Tribolium castaneum: one gene and its partner. The protein of the gene in region 1 interacts with the protein of each later gene in a pairwise test. Links are inferred from orthologs where the notes say so. Each region holds a gene or a part of one and is shown in the gene's direction. Other genes may lie near its edges.

Evidence for each region.
Region 2: the proteins of dsh (region 1) and Abl interact in binary tests that used the Drosophila melanogaster proteins (3 or more experiments, as listed by UniProt). The link is inferred for Tribolium castaneum from reciprocal best matches to the Drosophila melanogaster genes dsh and Abl.

What each region holds. Positions count from the first base shown.
Region 1 is NC_087401.1:8,564,827-8,569,336, forward strand, and holds the start of dsh (segment polarity protein dishevelled homolog DVL-3), read left to right. Parts: upstream 1-1,533; 5' UTR 1,534-1,766; coding exon 1,767-1,927; intron 1,928-1,985; coding exon 1,986-2,055; intron 2,056-2,103; coding exon 2,104-2,294; intron 2,295-2,346; coding exon 2,347-2,679; intron 2,680-2,733; coding exon 2,734-2,862; intron 2,863-2,909; coding exon 2,910-3,004; intron 3,005-4,510.
Region 2 is NC_087394.1:5,634,266-5,638,087, forward strand, and holds part of Abl (tyrosine-protein kinase Abl), read left to right. Parts: intron 1-401; coding exon 402-634; intron 635-685; coding exon 686-1,541; intron 1,542-3,822. UniProt on the Drosophila melanogaster protein: Arm and Abl proteins function cooperatively at adherens junctions in both the CNS and epidermis; critical for embryonic epithelial morphogenesis regulating cell shape changes and cell migration.

The sequences.
Region 1 (4,510 bases):
CCCATCGGGACTTGTCACTTGCGCTGTAACTTTTAGCCAATCAGTAGACGGCACGCAAATACGTCACGAGATTACACTTTTGAAATTCATATGAATTTATATGCATGTTTGTATGACTTGGAGAAGATTATAATTACCGGACAATGGAAATTGTAATATACAAGGGTATTCCAAAGATATGGTGCCACACTTTAGGGAGGTTCTTGCGTGAGAAAACGTTTGTATACAACCCTTAGTCGAAAATATGCCGTTTCTCCCCTGGAGCCAGTTTGGTCCAAATACGAATTACTATTTTGTTCATATTAAAAGACTTCGATATTTATTAGCTAAAACATAGCTTATGGAAAGTTTTTGAGTTAGGTGTAATTTTATTTTTGATCGTAATACCTAGTAGCCTTTGATTTTAAGCCAATTTAATTTAAATAAAGAACATATAGATTCGTCATGGAAGGCGAGAGTCTAAAACTAGCATATTCTTCGTTTTAGGTTACATCATCCCGTTAATTTGAACTTTAAATTGTACCCCCCACTTTTTAAAACCACCCCTAACTCAAAAACAAATCTACAATTATGTGTTTTCTCTACAATTAGATTAGTTTTCCCTTCTTTCTAATATATTTTTTTTTCTAATAATGATTCAAAATGTAGAAGGCGGTATTTAAAATGTCAAAGGAGTGGCTAGCGACTAGGGAATGAAGCCTAAACATAAACATCTTTAATGTTGGTTTTGACCTCTACCTTTGCAAGTCAAATTGAATTGTTTGTTTGTTTAAATCAAATGGGCTTAAAATCAAAGGCTCCCAATGACTAAAAATTTCAAAATGCAAATCAACATTTTTTTACGGTTAGACAAGCTTTTTCTTTCTATTCCAAAAATTGAGTGTCATTTAAAATTTAAAAAAAGGGGTGACTAGCGTCTAGGGAATTGGGGGATGTTTTTAAGGGTTATTTTAAAGCCCTGATCTGCAAATTATTATTGGTTCTGCAAAATTGAAATTCCCCTCCTAGTGGTGTATCTGATTTTTTCACTGCACTGTTATCAAGCTAAACAACACTATTAACTAATAGTCATCACCACTGGGTTACAATCGTTACTTTTTATTAAAAACCACAAAAAACACGATGTAAACAACACGTTTGTAATCTTGTGACATATCAACGTGGCGGTTCTCCCACTCCTCCAAAGAGTTACGGCGCAACCATGTCTCTACTAATCATGAGATGAACTTGGTCGAAATTTTGATTAAACGGTTGATTATTTTAAATAATCTATATGTAAAATGAACATAGTAAAATACTGCTCTAAAATATTGTGATTATGCAACCGCCTTTACAGCTCTAGAGTGACAATATCGGATGAACAACTTTTCAAAAGACATCGATTGATAATTTTTAAACGCAAATGTGTTTTTCATCAATTTATTAATCTTTTTCGCAATCATGCGCCTAAATTGGTTACATTTTCGCCAATTTACAACAATTCTATCAAGAAAAAATCGGCCGGTAATAAAGAACTCTACCCTTTCACAACAAACCAATTTTCGCAAAATATACGGGCCCTTTGCACCACGTAGCCAAAACTTGTAACTAGCGGTAGGGGGCTGTTCGCGGGGCCGCGTCTTTGCGGGTTTAATGCCCCCTTATCCGTTGTCTTGATCTCTTTAATCCCCTTGGGTGGGGATGACTTTAATGATGTCGGCCATGTTGTGTTGAAGTGTTTTTCTCCTGTCAAATTGTGTAGTTTTTCGCGAAAATCGAGTGAAATAATGGATGAAACGAAAGTTATTTATCACATAGACGACGAGGAGACCCCCTATTTAGTAAAGATACCGATTTCGCCGGAAAAAGTGACCTTATCTGACTTTAAAAATGTGTTAAATCGCCCCAATTACAAATTCTTTTTCAAGTCGATGGACGATGATTTCGGGTAATTCTCTCGTGTGTTTCACCCTTCGGGTGATTAAAACGTAACAATTCGTTTGCAGAGTCGTTAAAGAGGAAATCATCGACGACAGCGCACATTTGCCGTGTTTTAACGGACGTGTTGTTAGTTGGGTACGTTTCTAGCTCGCTAGAGAAGGGGGCGCATTAATTGCCCTACAGTTAGTTTCAGCCGATGGCTCAAATCAATCGGATGGGGGCTCACAGTGCACTGACAGTGTCACACACCAGTCGGAACGTGTGCCCCCCCAAGCCCCCGAATCAATCTGCACCGACACTGAAAGTATCATTAGTTCGAGACAGGGAAGGCGCCACCACAAATACTCATCACGAATTAACGGACACCTTCCACGGTACTGTTTTCACTTATATTTATAAGTCTGTGGTAAATAATCCCAATTTTAGAGTTTACGAAACCGCTTCAATTGTCAGTTCCGATTTAGAGACCACAAGTTTTCAGTCTGAGACAACCGGAAGACACACGGCCCTCTCAGAATGCTCCAGTGTGAGTCGGTTACATGTCGCGGGGCGCAAAAGACCGCAAAGACGACGAAAACAACGAATGCAAGCAATGTCACGAACATCCTCATATTCCAGCATCACAGATTCGACAATGTCCTTGAATATTATAACAGTGACCTTGAATATGGACACGGTTAATTTTCTAGGAATTTCAATTGTGGGGCAAAGCAATAAAGGGGGCGACGGTGGCATTTACGTCGGATCCATTATGAAAGGGTACATCACAATTTTATTTTGTGTGTCTCATTAATTTGATGTAAATTTTTATAGGGGGGCTGTCGCCCTTGATGGTAGAATAGAACCAGGCGACATGATTTTGCAAGTCAATGACGTTAATTTTGAAAATATGTCAAATGATGAGGCGGTTAGGGTTTTGCGAGAAGTGGTCCAAAAACCAGGGTTGGTATCAGAAAAATATAAGCCCAATTTTTTTATTCAATTTTCAGACCGATCAAGCTGGTTGTGGCGAAGTGCTGGGATCCCAACCCCAAAGGCTACTTCACTATACCTAGAACTGAACCAGTGAGGCCTATCGACCCAGGTAATTAAATCACTATACAGTGGAGTCTGCTTATAACGAACTTCCGGCTATAATGTACTATTTTTCAAGCACCAAAAAAAATCATTCCATGAAGGCATTGGCAACTTATTTTTCGTATTTTATGTTTCAACGGAAATTGAAAATATCTTTAGGTTCTATTTAAATTTTTTCGCGATGAGAAATAAGCGAGATAATCGCTTTGAAAGGAAGAAATCATGACGTCACAACGTAACACTGAACCCTCCAATCACCAAAAACTTTTTTGAGAAATTGAGATTTGAGAAATCTTTATAAACTCTGACAGTGTCACCTAAAAGTCAAAAACCATTTGATCTTTATATCGGACCAAATGCTGGAGACGGTTACGACATCATGATTTCTAATTTAAATCGAAATAACTTGAGTTAAAGAGCAGTTACAGAGAAACGGTTTTCACTATTGTAATAAGTGTTTAGTCTTCACTTAAGACAAAGTTGTTTTTTAAGTTGCCAATGCCTTAAAGCTCAATGTATTTTTTACCGCTTATAACGAACTAAATTTGACTTAAAATCTGACGCAATTTTCTGTTTATAACGAACTTTTGAGGAATATGTTGGGGTTGATAATGACAAAGCCGCAAGAGAAGTGTTAACTGATAAACAGATTATTGACTTACTAACTAAAAACATTTTAATAATTAAAAACATGTGTTTGTAAACATAACTACGGTGCGAATTTGCTAGTTGTGCAAATATTTCTTGATAAAGCTCAAGGAAGTCAAAATAAATTAACTTATTTTATCCAAACTTTTATTACTTCTACTAGTTTTTGAGATATAGAGAGTACAACCTCCACTTCAGCGTCTAAAATTAAGGACGCTTTTTCCAAAGTTGACTTTACTAATTGGTGGTGACATATGAGCAAATGAAATTCTGTAATATCTTCGCCACAAAAAAAATTGGTACAAAATTTTTACATTTTTATAATTATTTACGAGATGACTTGTTTTTCTGTAGCTGTTTTTGCTAATTTAAACTTAGTGTACTAGATATTGAAGAACTAAACTCTTAACTAAGGAACACTCAGAATTCATAATTTTTGGTTTTATAAAGTTTACTTTAAACGCAAATAACTCGAGAACGGTACATTTTAGCGATATGCAACAAGTGTCCCTTTTCTAAAGAAAAATGAATGGGCTTTCAATTTTTGGTATAAAAGAAGTGGGTGAAAAATCAAGTTATGGTCAAAAAACTGGAAGGGACGCATTGCAATCGGAAATGTACAACTTCCGTGTACATCACATTAAAGAGCGTCTTTTACATCACATTAAAGAGCGTCTTTTCGTCTCTTACATTGTCAAGTTTAATAATTGGATAATCAATAAGGAAGATATTCTCCAAAAATTATTTTTCATACCGACTTTTTGGAAAGCTGTAATTTTTCTATTAAGTGAGACAGGCCAACAAAAACCATTAGATTTATTATCATTTGTAGAGGAATTTTTGTGATTCAAATTATGCAACAACA
Region 2 (3,822 bases), on another chromosome or scaffold:
TAGTGCAAATTGTCCGTTAAAATGGAATGGCTAAATACTGAAAGGTTGATAACACTAATCAATGAAATTATAGCCCATCTCAGTTCTTAGTAGAAAATGGGAACAGCGCATTTGCATTTTTTCGGGTGAAATTGAGCACAAATTGAAAGTTTCTATATAAGAAAATAATTCTGTGTTACAGAGAATCCTAACGACAAATTTATAGCCAAGAGAAGTCACGAATTCAAAAGAAATAATAATTTTGAAAATTCATATTTTTTATACTATTTTAAAAACTATCCATCAAAGAAGCTTTTTCTAGGGGGCTTGTTTTCAATCATTGTCAAAACTGTCATTTATTAATCAATTTCTACAATTATTTTATTTTCTTGTGATGCATTCACAATCTTTTTTCGATCCAGGTTTAACCCGTGAACTCCAAAACCTAACCGCCAGCACAAAAGGCGACAGCGAAAGCGACCTCCAAGACCAAACCCCCGACACGGACGATTCCGGTGCCCACTCCTACCCGGAAGTCTCATCCGTAAGCAACCTAGGTTGCACCACCGGTTCATTCAAACGAGCCCCCATTATGGGCAACAGGGGCTTGGAACAGAGAGGGAAAAAGACTAAGACAAAAGACGTAACCCCTGCTGTACGCCAGCCCCCAATGAAATAATTTCCAAATCATTTAACTGTGTTTTAGGTCCAAGTGGCGGCTCTCGAAGTCCAAAACGTGCGAAAAGCAATCAGTCGTTATGGCACTCTTCCGAAAGGCGCCCGAATCGGCGCATATCTTGAATCTTTAAAACAGAGCGGAATGTCAACCAATGAAGACACACCCGAACCGACGGAAACCACCCCCAGGTCTCTATCACCACGGACCAACATTCGGACCCAACCCCAAATGATCCGGAGCAACTCTTCCGGAGGTGTCACCACTTTCCACGCAACCCATCCTCCAAGCTCCCCCACGTCCTCGAAGTTATCCCGCACCCGGAACATCTCGCGGAACAACACCGGAGACGTCCGGAGCAGTCTCCGGACTTTCCGGGCGGCTCAAAACAACACTTTCCGGGGCGGCAGTCCCTCCAGGTCCGTGCAACCGACGTTGGCCGACCTGGAGTTTCCGCCGCCTCCCACCGATTTGCCGCCACCGCCTGAAGAATTCGACGGGCCGATTGATGTGCCCGATGGTGTCGTGATGGCCGATTTGAGGAAGAAAGTGATTCCGATTTCGCCGCTTACGACGAAGAGAACAGTCGGGAGGAGTGAGGAGTTGAGTAATGAGAATAGTGATGTTTGTACGCTGCAGCCTTCGGTGGAGGAGGCGAGTTCGAGGTTTGGTGTGAGTTTGAAGAAGAGAGAGCCGTCGACTGACAGTTGCAATAGCTTTAAAGATAATAAGGAGGATGGGAAGGAGAAGAGTCCTCAACGAACTAGTCTTAGTTTAACGAGTCCGAGTCAAGATGGAAAGAGTCCGATGAGTATTGATTCGGATGTGCCGGCGGTTGGGTCGCCGTTGGAACCGTTGCCGCCGCCTCCGAGTTTTCCCGATCTTGGTGAGTAATATCGTGAAAGTTTGAAGAGAAAAAAAAAGAAAGTCAAGTGATTTTTATTAGTGGATCGGTTTTTATTTCAACCCAGTCTTTTACAGTTCTTCTACAGTTTGTTTAAAATATTGTTTGGAAAATTAATAGCCCAGTCAAATTAGAAAAATCGGTGGAAAAAATTACTAGAGAATGGAGTTTTTTTAAAGCTTTCTTTACACTTGAGTCCCCGAGTATTTCAAATTTTAAAAGTGCGGCTTTAATATTATTTTTTTACCTTTATAATTTTTGATGTCCGGTCCGTTATCGCAAACATAATATGTTGTTCTAATTTCTTACGTTTTTAAATAAAGCTAAGAATTTTTAATTTCCACTTCTAATTTTAATATTTTTAAAGTCTAATAATTAAAACCTGTCTCAATAATTTTTTTAGAGCTATTTTCACACACGAGTTTTTTTGTTCCGTCCGTCATAAATTTGTATTTGTTTCTGTATTTCTGTATTTTTTTCTTTATTCTTTATTATTTTCTTCTGTATTCTTTTTTTTGGCTCGTATTTCAAATTTTAAAAGTGTGGCTTTAATATTACTTTTTTTACCTTTATAATATTTGATGTCCGGTCCGTTATCGCAAACATAATATGTTGTTCTTATTTCTTACGTTTTTAAACAAACCCAAGAATTTTTCATTTCCACTGTTTAATTTTTATATTTTTAAAGTCTTTAATAATGTAAACCTGTCTCAATAAATTTTTTAGACCTATTTTCACACACAAGATTTTTTTGTCCCGTCCGTCGTAAATTTGAATTTCTTTCTGTGTTTCTGTATTTTTTTCTGTATTCTTTTTCTTTGGCTCGTGTTTCAAATTTTAAAAGTGCGGCTTTAATATCATTTTTTTACCTTTATAATTTTTGTTTCCCCGTCCGTAATCGCAAACATAATATGTTGTTTTTATTTCTTACGTTTTTAAAAAAAATCAAGAATTCTTAATTTCCACTATTTAATTTTAATATATTTAAAGTCTTTAATAATTAAAACCTGTCTCAAAAAATTTTTTAGAGCTATTTTCACACACGAGTTTTTTTGTCCCGTCCGTCATAAATTTGTATTTCTTTCTGTATTTCTGTATTGATTCGGATGTGCCGGCGGTTGGGTCGCCGTTGGAACGGTTGCCGCCGCCTCCGAGTTTTCCCGATCTTGGTGAGTCAAAGTTGTAATATCGTGAAAGTTTGAAAAGAGAAAAAAAAAAGAAAGCCAAGTGATTTTTATTAGTGGATCGGTTTTTATTTCAACCCAGTCTTTTACAGTTCTTCTACAGTTTGTTTAAAATATTGTTTGGAAAATTAATAGCCCAGTCAAATTAGAAAAATCGGTGGAAAAAATTACTAGAGAGATGGAGTTTTTTTTAAAGCTTTCTTTACACTTGGGTCCCTGAGGCGAGCTCGTCGAGGGGGAGGGGGTTAAAGCAGTCTTTTTTTGTTTTTTTTTGCTTATATCTCGGAAACTGTTCGTCCTATCAATTTTTTTCTTCTTACCAAAATTAAAACTGATAAAATTTCCTACAAAATAGTTAAATGCATTTTTTTGTGGGACTAACCATAAGCTAGTTATAGGGCAGGAAAGAAACAATCGTTTAACAAAATGTGCTTTAAAAGAAAATGTCTTGTGACTTGAAAATCTGATAATAAACTGAATTTATGGGGTCCAACACTTCATTACTGTAGAAAGGGGGGGGACATGGGGGTCACAGAAGTCTTCAGAGTCGTTTTTAGATGCTGCATTTCCGTCTTAGTCTCAAACATTGAAAACTGAATTACAGTCTTGTTTAGTAAAATATTAATAGAGATGATTTAATATAGATGTTTTGAATAAATCTTATAATAAACTGTACAGGCTGACCCAGGGGTGCGTAATCGGTCTATAACTTTTTTATTATTTAAAATATTGCGATTCTGTTTTGTTATCTTATAGATCGACTTAAAATCCATAAACTAAAAATATTTTTATTGTACACAGGGTGTTGTATACAGGCTGGTGAACCAAAATTATATTTTTTTAATGGATTTTTTTTAATGGTTTTTATAGCAAATTTACAATATTTTTTAAAGTGTTCAAAAAAAATAACAAATATATTTTTTATTTATTTTATTAATAATTCTTGATGAGTGAAATTCTTTTATGTAACAAGTAATAATTAGATTACTTGTGTAATTAGTCACATTAGTCAAAAAATTAATTACCATTTGATTATCAGATTCTAGGCTAACAAATTGTCTTGTATTAAAATATAATTT